Daphnia pulex: one gene and its partners. The protein of the gene in region 1 binds, or shares a complex with, the protein of each later gene. Links are inferred from orthologs where the notes say so. Each region holds a gene or a part of one and is shown in the gene's direction. Other genes may lie near its edges. The genes, in order: HEAT repeat-containing protein 3-like, 60S ribosomal protein L11 and ribosome production factor 2 homolog.

Region 1 (3,666 bases):
GATACGGTGGGGCTTCCGGAGGCGGTCATTCCAGCGGCGGATATGGTGGGGCTTCCGGAGGCGGCCATTCCAGCGGCGGATATGGTGGGGCTTCCGGAGGCGGTCATTCCAGCGGCGGATACGGTGGGGCTTCCGGAGGCGGCCATTCCAGCGGGGGATACGGTGGGGTGTCAGAAGCTGGATATGCTTCTGCTCCATCTTTCCAGCCGCCTCCAGTTTCCTCTTATGGTCCTCCTCCTCCTCAAGGAGGTTATTAACTCCGCCGTTTTCCCTTTACAAATCCTGAATAATCTCAGAATATTTGTCATCCATTGCTTGAATAATTTCATCGGTCCTCATATATATTTCTTAAACTATTTTCACTATCGTCCTTGTCTTTACAGATTTTGAGAAGTATTCTTCACTACCGTTTTCTCAAGTGTTCCTAATAAACCAACTTTAATATTTACTATAATTCCGAATAAACATTTCTGTGTATAGTAGACTTGATAGTATTTTTTAGAGAAGTACAGAGTAACCATTAATTATCACATTCAAGGCTTTTTCAATAGGACAAATGAAAAAACGAACATCAACAATAGCTTTTTTCTGAATTCACTTGATAGTCTTTTTCGTCTTGTATTCTGCTCTCTTTTTACTTTACGATAGGACCCTTTATTAGTTTACTGAAACGGACGAATTTCGGTATTTCTTTATACAGTAAAAGAAAAAGTAAAAGTGCAAAAGTGCCATCTGGGGATAGAAGTAAACATTTCTTTTTTCGTCTGCTTATCAAACATGTGCTCTGACATGTTGAAAGGTTCTTGTGCAAGTCTTGTGCGGGAGATCGTTTCTGGTTTTTCGTTATCATAGTTACTTGTACGAAACTTGGATAACATAATTTTTCTCCATATTATTAATTTTGTCAGCTAGGTAAGTGAAAAATTTATTTCCATTTATTTGGATAAAAAATTAACCTCAACATACCGGTAGGATGGGGAAATCCAAATCGAACCGACATAATAAGCAAGTTCGTGATAATCCCACTGGACTCGCTAATAAATCTGACTCTGAAGAAATTGTGATGGATTGTGCTGTCAAGAGTCCTTATACTGGAACTGCCCTCTCGTCAGAAACCCTAAAGTCTTTTTCAAGACAGTTACAAAGTTCATCAGCAGAAGAGCGGGACTGTGTATAATACCTTTTATTCTCCCTCCCTCTTAATCATCTTCTGTAACTATGTTTTTCTTTGTTTAGGCTTGCCATGCATTAGCAGGATTGATAAGAAATAATGAGGATTCATGTGCAGCATTACAAGAAGGACTAATAAAAGGTATGCATCGTCAATTTATAAGAAAATTAGAATCAAAACGATTTACGCTTTTATTTAGTTCTTGGTCCTCTATTGCTGGATACAAGTGCCTCTGTTTGTCATTCTACTGCTTCAGCACTTCATACGATAATTTCAAAAGGAGGAGATCAAGCGATCAAGCTTGCCATTGAACACGACATTTTAACACCACTGATTGCTTTATTAAAGAGAATCCCACCACAGTGGAAACCTCATAAAGCACCTGGCAACAAAATTGATACTTCTACAGCCACCTTTCTAGAAACAGTTGCAACATTAAATCTTCTCTCCGAAAGCAGCACTCTAGCTGTTGACCGGATACATCGCGAAAACATAGTTTCCATGTTAATTTCGTATTTGGACGTAAATGCGTATGGCTTAGATGTTGTTTCGTCGGTTGTCCAGTTCCTCAGCACAGTAACTGAAGAACAGGGTGATACTGACTACACAGAAGTTTTGAAAAAAGAGATTATTTCGAAATTCCTCAATGTGAAAGAATCTAGCCCTTTATTGAAAACTCTATCACTTATGATACTTCTTAACTTGAACCATCAGCAGTTGAATTCAGGTAAATTCTGTGCTGATAAAATGTGTCTAGATTTGTATTAACAATTTTTCAAATTAAATCAGAATTGGGACAGTCAACTCAAGATATTATAAATATCCTGACTTCTTCTCTTTGCCTTGATCAAAGGAAGGCAGCGTCTTCAGTGGTCGATCATTTACCGACAACTCAAGGTTTGTTTCTATATTAATGCTAATCATATTTCGGCTTTTCAGTATCCTAATTTTGTTATAGATGAAAACGGTGGGGATGCAATGGAAGAAGATTCTTTGGCCTCTAAATTATACGATTCTGTCGAAGCTGCCGAAGAATTAATCTCTGCTCAAATAAAATCTCTGGAAATATTAACCAATATTTGTTGTTCTGGAGACGATGGCGACTCGGATGAATTCTACGAAGATGAATCCATTAGCGATGAATCACTGGGTAATGAAGGATTTCAAGAAAGCCTTATAGACTTGAATCCCGAGTTGAAGAAAGCTTTCATCGATGCGCGACTATTTCAACTGGTTATTGAAAAAGCAAAATTACCGGCAACGAATATAATTGAAGCTTTAAATCAGCACCCAACAGGTTAGTATTTAACTTGATTCAACTCTCATTCTGTAGTGGAAGGTAAATTGAAATAATCTTGTCTTGTTTTGGATTTCAGGAAAATCTCTTATTAAACGTTACGAAGCGCTCCAATGTATGGGGTTCTTGTGTTTAAGTAACATGGTGATGGTTTTCGAAGTTGACGATATTGGTGGCAGCAAGGATTTATTCGACATTTGGTGTGGCTTAGCAGTCGTGGCTTTCCAGGGTAGTAAGTCGGAACAGATGCTGGGAAGTGCAACTGCTTCTATGCGTGCCATAATTCGAAAATTGTCGTATCATAAAGACATAGTCAACCTTTTGAAGTTAGAAGACATCACTCTCCTCTGTCAGAGAGTTGTAGACTGTTCTCATCCTCAGTCAAAAGTGAATTTGCTTCAGATACTCGGCACACTTGGCTCAATGGCAGCTGGAGTTGAACCACCCATGTTGGAACCTCGATCTTCGATTGTTCGCGGAATCGGTCAAATCCTTCTCGACACTGCTTGCCTTTCTCCTGACTTGTGGATTACAGCTGAAGCTATGGATGCCTTATTTGATGTTTTCAAGGAGGATCACACAGACCCAATTGTTGGAGATGTTCAACTGGTGGAGCGTTTAAGAACATTGGCACCCACTTTCAAGCATCGTGTCCATTCACAACGTCGTAGCCTACCGGCGGATCACCTCCCAGTTGTTATGACTGCTAGAGACAATCTACTCCGCTTCATCAAGTATAAGACAAAGCAACGATCGTTAGCTAATCGATAATGTAATGTATGAATTGTTGAAGCTTTAACAAAAGTTGCTATTGGACTGTTCTTCATTTTTGGCATTTATTATATTGATTTGTTATTGGTTAGAGTTTTATAGCCTACAACAACCCCTTGAGAGCTTCTATTGAACTGAGAACATCAGCAATGAAAGGTCTTTCTTTGGGATCAACAACAAGCAAAGTGGAAATTAAGTCGTTTACCGACGAATTGACTCCTGGGGAAGTGGAATTTGGAAAATGATTCATTCCACTGGAGGCAGCCAAAGCAACGCTATCTCCTCGTTCAAATACCTCATCAAAAGGCGATTTATAGTAGCAGAGGGCATATAGCAGGCACCCCAAAGACTAAAAAAAAGTCACAATTTATGGAAAAAACTTAACTTTTAAAATAATAACAATTTAAAATACCCAGATATCAGTACG
Region 2 (3,756 bases), on another chromosome or scaffold:
CGCTCCTCTTCGCGGAGTTTCAGCACCCGGCAATTGTAATCCAGCACTTCGTTGTTGAGAGTGAAATCGACTTTGAGCTTCTCCAGTTCTTGCTCAATCAACTGGATGTCCGCCGTTAGACGGTGGCGCGTTCGGCTGCATTCGCTGTAATAGTACGCGTCCGTCTCGTCCAAATCGTCCACCCAATGGCTTCCGATGTCGTTGAGTTCGTGAATGATTTCGTTCTCCGATGTCGACCAATCGGACAGCATTTTATCCATCAATTTCGAGTGATCTTCCAGCAACAAATTGTAGTCTTTGCCAAAAGCTGACTGTAAAATATTTAAATTTAATTTTGTCTGATGGAAAAAAGAATTAAATAACTTGCGTCAATCTCTCCCAGTTGACAGCGCTGGGTGGTCCGGGTGAAATCCAAATGATCCTTCATCCTTTTGCGCATCACGCCGAGATCTTCCGTCTGGCGCTCAATTTCCAGCTGGATAATTTTGTCGGCTTGATTCACCTCTTCGCGTAATCGGTCAATCAGTACCTGCTGGGTGTTTAGCACGTCGTCGCTCATCCCTGGGTGTTTAGTTATAAACCATTTTGTCTTTTTGTATTTCGTGAGCTGCAATTAAAAATTAGAGAGTTACACGAAGGTGTGAAATACCTTGAATTTCTTGTATGTCCGCTGTTAATTGATGAGGGGCCGTGTTTTTGAAAGCCTCCGTCCATGTCGACTGCAATGTAATGTCGACGGCATTAACGTGAGTGGAACAAGCTTCGGATAATGACGTACATTCCGTCTCGGTGGCCTGTCGCTGGTCCAGTTGACGTCCAGTGCGAACCGCCGAACTCGATTCGACACTTCCGATCTTGTAAATCAATATAATTAGAAATGTGTATGAAATCCAATTACCAAAAAAGCTGAGAATTTCAATCTACCAAATCGCAGCCATCGTCTTTCAAGCGTTTCAGGACGTCGTGACTGGTAGCCAAGGCCGCCTCCCCTTTCTCGCCCACCAATTTGACATGGTCAGTTGAATTGGTGCACTGTTTTATGATGTCGCTCAGCCTGATTTCGACAACATTTGTAAGTACACAAACGGCTGAAATTGAAGAAGAAAGGTCGTAATTCGAATATATATGTACCTTGTACTGGGATCCTGCATTTGCGTTGCGTCTTTGTTTGCCTTTTCCGTCGTTTGTTCACGCGAAACTGTTTCCATGTTTTCTTACTTTGCCCGTCACTACGTGGCCATCGAATCAACAACCGGACGAAATAAATCAATGCTTGCGTTATTTTTCCCCTGTTAGGTAAATAAAATTTGGCTTTGTTTTTAGTACTGGGCATATTTTCTTGGACGCAGTGGAAGTATTGTTGTGAGCTGATTATTGTTTGCTCAAGTTCACTTGCGGTTTTCAATAGAGTGTGCAAATAATTGCACGGGGAATTGCAATTTTCCGTGTTGTGCAGTGACACGATTTTTTAAAATCAGACACGACATTTATCCTTCAAACTATAATAACATTAAACATCAATTCAAATTTACTTAATTGTTTAAGCAAGTTTAAAAATACTTCGAAAAATAGTCTAAAGATCGATACTTAACAATCGATTACGTTAGATTTGTTTTCATTTCAATGCTGATTTACTAACGTTTAAACAATAAAAAATACTACAAAGTTACACTTTCATCACAATAAACTAAAAAACCGAATTTTGCTTTGAATATTTCAATCATTTTTCAATAAAGTTTAATCAAATGCTAACCTCGCCCGTTTACTTGGCAACGTTCGAGCTATACTTCATTTCTTTAGCATAGGCTGCGTTGCCTGAGAGTGGTCTTGTTCTCTTGTTTTTCACGCATAGCTCCAAAATGACGGCGACCACTGTAAGTTCCTTGAAATTATTATCGTATTTCATCTGTCTTGAATTGAAATTTCTTCCAGTTTCATTATTCGATTTATTACGAGTCGATATTCCTCTTCAAAACTAGTAGTTTTGAAATATTTACATGTGATGCCAGTGATAATCTTTCTACCGGTGCAACAAGAGACTTTCAACATTTTCAGACCTAACGTGTTTCTTTTCGTTTCGGATATTTCAGGAGCAGGTGAAGAGGGACAAGTCCAAGAACCAGATGCGCGAATTGCGTATCCGAAAACTTTGTCTGAACATTTGTGTTGGTGAATCTGGTGACAGATTGACCAGGGCCGCCAAGGTATGTTGACTAGTAGTAAGATTTACATTCACATGCATCGTCCCTTGATGTATGTTAATATTATGTCGTGGGAAATTTAAACTTAAAATGTGATACATTAATTCCATCTATTGCAACTCTGGCTCACTTTAACTACTGAGCTAGTTACTAAATTGTGGAGACAACCTTTTCGTTCAAACTCTTGTCATTGGAACTTCCATTAAAACCCATTTCCTTTATTTCTAGGTGTTGGAACAGTTAACTGGTCAACAGCCAGTTTTCTCCAAAGCTCGTTATACCGTGCGTTCGTTCGGTATCCGTCGTAATGAAAAGATTGCTGTCCACTGCACTGTTCGTGGAGCCAAGGCTGAGGAGATCCTCGAAAGAGGATTGAAAGTCAGGGAATACGAGTTAAGGAAAGAGAACTTCAGTGATACTGGAAACTTTGGTTTTGGTATTCAAGAACACATTGATCTTGGTATCAAGTACGACCCTTCCATTGGTATCTACGGCCTTGACTTCTATGTTGTCTTGGGACGCCCAGGTACTTCACCCTTTCTACTTCATCTGCACAAGCATCGTCCCTAGATTTACGTTATTAGTATTTCTTGGGAATTATTAATCAAAACGTGCTATAGTAATTCTATTTATTGCAACTCCGGCTCACTTCAACTACTGGGCTAGTTACTAAATAATAGAGATAAATGTCTTGTAATATTCAGGACAATTTAGTCTAATTAATTGTTGTTTGATTCTAGGCTTCAGTGTAGCCGAACGTCGTCGCAAGACCGGCAAAGTTGGATTCCAGCACCGGTTGAAGCGCGAAGATGCCATGAAATGGTTCCAGCAGAAGGTATAATCATAATAATAGTCCAAAAATATATGCAATATGTATTGCTGGGGCTATCTTAACAATGATTGAGGATAGGGCTCGCTGTTAATGTTGCTAGATTATGAATGTGTTAAATCGGAATATGTGGCTGAATTGATAGCACAGAATTTCAAGCATACTCCTACAAAATATTTAATTTAATGAAGCCGCTTGTTTAACGACGATTCTTTCTTTATTTTACAGTACGACGGTATCATCCTCCCCACAAAGAAGGCATGAGCATTGTGTGTACTTCGTTCTGTTGCAAAATACACCGTTTTGCGAAATCCATTTGCCATTTTTGTTTCTTTTATGCGTGTCATTTTACAATGGTTTATTAATGAAAGGGAATTCCATTAAAAAATAATATTCGATAAAAGTTCATTAGTTATAAATTATAAGGGATTATGAATGACCACTAAATACATCCGAAATTGAAGTTTAATTAATTTTCGCAAGTTTTTAATATCGAAATTAAAATTTACACAATAAATCGACAACGAATTATCGATAGATAAATCGATTCAACACATTGTTGCCGCTATCAAAATATCTACATATAGAGCAGCTGGCTGGTTATTTACCATTAGCAATTGTGTAGTGTCGTCTGACAGCCGACTTATTCGGACGTGATTAAGCGTGCTCTTAGTATTCAACAAACTTCGATAAGGTATTGACGTTTATCTTTATACGTTATCAGAA
Region 3 (3,131 bases), on another chromosome or scaffold:
TTGTGTGGGTTTGACCACCTCGTTTAGGGCAAATGGAATCCACGCCGTCCAGAAATAGAACTGTGGGACTCGACACGCTTAAAGTTTCCTTGAAAATGTTTCTCAATTTGTCTTCGCTGCCTCCTGGATCGGATGACGAGAGATCCGAGCAAGTGACTGGGATGAGAAACAGGCCGTTTTCAGCGCAGAGTTGCTGGACGATTGAACTTTTCCCGCAGCCCGGTGGACCGTGTAAAAGAATTCCTCTAGGCGCGCAAAGTTGAGCAAACACTTGGGGATGCTGTAGAGGATACACCACTAGTTCTTTCAATTTGTTGTAGGCTTCATCTACTCCTCCCATTCTTGTCGTTTGGACTCGTTCTTGAATTTTCATCCATTTCTCTGTGATGATGTTTTCAATCTTGACTTGGGTTTTGGCAGACACTGTCAGAGCTCCACCGTCAGGTTTCGTTTCCAGGACCAAAATTTTCTCTACATTCCCTGCGGAAAAGTATTTGCCAACAGTGATTGACGAAAGCGGGGTGATGATCTTGTTTGAAAGAAGACTCTTGATCAACAGGGGCAACTTGCATTGTTTCAAATGGTTGACACTTTGAAAACTATCAGTTACGATAGTTACAGTTATACTTGTTGCCGGTTTCAGTGACAATTTTGAAACACTGAAATCCCTCGTCACTACTGGATGAGTGATGAGAAACTTTCTACGTTCACTGTAAATTTGAACGGTATTTTCAACAACTGCATCATTTTTCAAATCAGTCCTAGGGAAGAGCTTGCAAATGAAGGTTCCCTTGTTTGTCGTCACTTTCACTGGGCATCCAACTTGACAATTTAAAGTTACAAATTCCGCAACAGGAAGACAGCACTTTTGACTGCCAATCTCTGAACCAATAACGACAGTATTCATTTTTACTCTTGATTTTTGCAGATATTTTCGTTTCGGGGCATGCTGTCACTGTTATTTTGATTTGAGATACGGCGTTGCCAAAGACGCTAAACAAGATGAAAAATTAAAGAAAAATTTTACAAATGTCATTAGTTATTTGATTCAAGTTCAATTTTATTTTATCCCTTTTTTTCTGTACCATTTCAGAGAAATTGTAGCATTTTTTACAAAATTTAATTTCGCCATGTTGCAATTTGAGACTCAAGTTCTAGCAGACGAATTGTTACACTCAAACTCAAACCGCGTGTTGGTTGGGAGACGTGTCTGTCTAAAATCCTAACAAGTTATCCAAACTTGTTAAATATTACTTTGTGTGACATTTCGTACCTTAATATACTGTTAACAGAATGAGCGTCAGAATTACGTAAGTGAAGAAATTACAAGTATTTTTTCGTAAAATTGATTATCATCTGTTAATTGCAGGAAACCCAAGACCCACCGCGGTAAGCGGATGCTGGCAAAACGAGAGCCAAAAATCGTTGAATTGGCTAAACAAGCTTTGATGCTTCGTGGTTCTACTGCCAGCGTCACATCCCTTCAATTTGTCAAAGATTTGGTACTATTGCTACAAGCTTATAAGCTTTTGGGTTGTATGTTTTCTAACATTTCGTTCTACTTCAGTATGCCATCAAACGGATGCAATCAACATACTTTGGTCAGAAACACCCTTACAATCCATTTGAAGATGTTAAACCGATAGAAGAACTGACTCAGAAATATGACCATTCTTTATTTGCATTCTGCTCAGACAACAAAAAGAGGCCCAACAATGTTATTCTGGGTACAATTTGATCTCTAAATTTTGTTTGAATTTATGGCCTAAACTAAAAGTCATCTAAATTTTCAGGAAGAATGTTTGACCACCAGTTGCTCGACATGATTGAATTTGGTGTGGAACAGTTCAAATCCTTGACTGCAATTCGCAACGCCAAAGTGATGGATGGTAACAAGCCTTGCCTGATCTTCTCTGGTGATGTCTGGCACCAAAACGAAGAGTATTCCAAATGCAAATCTTTGCTCATCGACTTTTTCCGTGGAGAAGTAGTGGAACAAGTTCGTCTTGCTGGTTTCGAACATGCTCTTTCTTTCACGGCTGTTGACGGCAAGATTTTCCTCCGCAGTTACAAGTATTTTTCTATATTTTTCATTTCATTTTTGAGATTGTAATAATCAAGTTTTTATAAAAGGATTTTGATGACCAAAAGTGGAACTAAAACTCCTCATATTGAATTGGAAGAAATCGGACCTTCGGCCGACTTGGTCATCAGAAGAACCAAATTGGCCTCAGCTGATCTATTCAAACGGGCGTGTCGCACACCAAGCGCTGCCAAGGTAATTTTTCTATTGGCTACTTCCATTTCAAATTTACTGAATAGTATTATTTGCTTTTAAACAGCCCAAGAAAGTCAAGAACATGTCCAAGGACGTTTTCGGTTCGAAACTCGGCCGCATTCACATGCCACGTCAAGATTACAGAAAGTTGCAAGTTAAACGCGGAAGAGCTCTGCGGACTGAAAAGTCACCCAAAAAAGCATCAAAACTTTCCAAGAAGTGAACGGTTGAAATTAATAAAGACTTTGACAAACACGACTCGTATGTACTGTGCACGATTTAAATTATCAGGCTTATTAGGTACCTCCATTTAGTGTTTTTCTCTCCTGTGGACCTGTGGTTACTCTATTGGTAATATTATTTTAAGCATTTTTGAATTAACTTTAATTTTTCCAGTATCGATGGATTTGCTGGATCGGTTAGAATTTGAGAAAGAAAAGGAACTAAACAAATTTAACTGGGAATTGGTCGACTCCGCTTCTAGCACTTAAAGGCTTATGGTTTAGTGTTAAATGAATAATCACATCTTAGCTTTGCCAGAGGTATCACCACTATTTTGAATTAAAACTACAAGAATTTATCTCCCCACAAAAACTAGGTAAAATGGAAATGCCGAATTGTGTATTTTTAATTACTCGTCATTTCAATTTATTGACATATGCCTGTAATGTAATTATTTTGATCGGTAGTGGGAAAAGCAGCTACTTGCAATGTGGGAGTAATGGATTTCAAGCAGAAGCTTCGATGACGGTGTTGATGCCTTGCATGGTGGATGTCCAGGCTTGTTTGGCTTCCGGAGTGAAGGCGGAGCCGAGAGTGGCAGCCAAAAATACCAGCAACACGGTGGCCATGT

The links.
Region 2: HEAT repeat-containing protein 3-like (region 1) and 60S ribosomal protein L11 share a complex: the UniProt entries of both Homo sapiens proteins name them as parts of the hexameric 5S RNP precursor complex. The link is inferred for Daphnia pulex from reciprocal best matches to the Homo sapiens genes HEATR3 and RPL11.
Region 3: HEAT repeat-containing protein 3-like (region 1) and ribosome production factor 2 homolog share a complex: the UniProt entries of both Homo sapiens proteins name them as parts of the hexameric 5S RNP precursor complex. The link is inferred for Daphnia pulex from reciprocal best matches to the Homo sapiens genes HEATR3 and RPF2.

What each region holds. Positions count from the first base shown.
Region 1 is NC_060021.1:11,401,804-11,405,469, forward strand, and holds HEAT repeat-containing protein 3-like, read left to right. Parts: upstream 1-751; 5' UTR 752-912; intron 913-972; 5' UTR 973-973; coding exon 974-1,171; intron 1,172-1,236; coding exon 1,237-1,312; intron 1,313-1,370; coding exon 1,371-1,898; intron 1,899-1,960; coding exon 1,961-2,068; intron 2,069-2,129; coding exon 2,130-2,468; intron 2,469-2,547; coding exon 2,548-3,239; 3' UTR 3,240-3,289; downstream 3,290-3,666. Other genes in the region: glycine-rich protein 5-like, read left to right, coding at 1-257; serine/threonine-protein kinase 16-like, read right to left, coding at 3,343-3,588, 3,652-3,666. UniProt on the Homo sapiens protein: Plays a role in ribosome biogenesis and in nuclear import of the 60S ribosomal protein L5/large ribosomal subunit protein uL18 (RPL5). Required for proper erythrocyte maturation.
Region 2 is NC_060026.1:15,189,457-15,193,212, forward strand, and holds 60S ribosomal protein L11, read left to right. Parts: upstream 1-1,418; 5' UTR 1,419-1,859; coding exon 1,860-1,874; intron 1,875-2,090; coding exon 2,091-2,204; intron 2,205-2,429; coding exon 2,430-2,727; intron 2,728-2,941; coding exon 2,942-3,036; intron 3,037-3,258; coding exon 3,259-3,294; 3' UTR 3,295-3,345; downstream 3,346-3,756. Other genes in the region: uncharacterized protein LOC124205485, read right to left, coding at 1-260; uncharacterized protein LOC124205486, read right to left, coding at 329-561, 650-854, 925-1,054, 1,132-1,208.
Region 3 is NC_060026.1:16,289,073-16,292,203, forward strand, and holds ribosome production factor 2 homolog, read left to right. Parts: upstream 1-1,150; 5' UTR 1,151-1,293; coding exon 1,294-1,310; intron 1,311-1,369; coding exon 1,370-1,502; intron 1,503-1,567; coding exon 1,568-1,727; intron 1,728-1,793; coding exon 1,794-2,073; intron 2,074-2,133; coding exon 2,134-2,278; intron 2,279-2,342; coding exon 2,343-2,501; 3' UTR 2,502-2,536; downstream 2,537-3,131. Other genes in the region: spermatogenesis-associated protein 5-like protein 1, read right to left, coding at 1-907. UniProt on the Homo sapiens protein: Involved in ribosomal large subunit assembly. May regulate the localization of the 5S RNP/5S ribonucleoprotein particle to the nucleolus.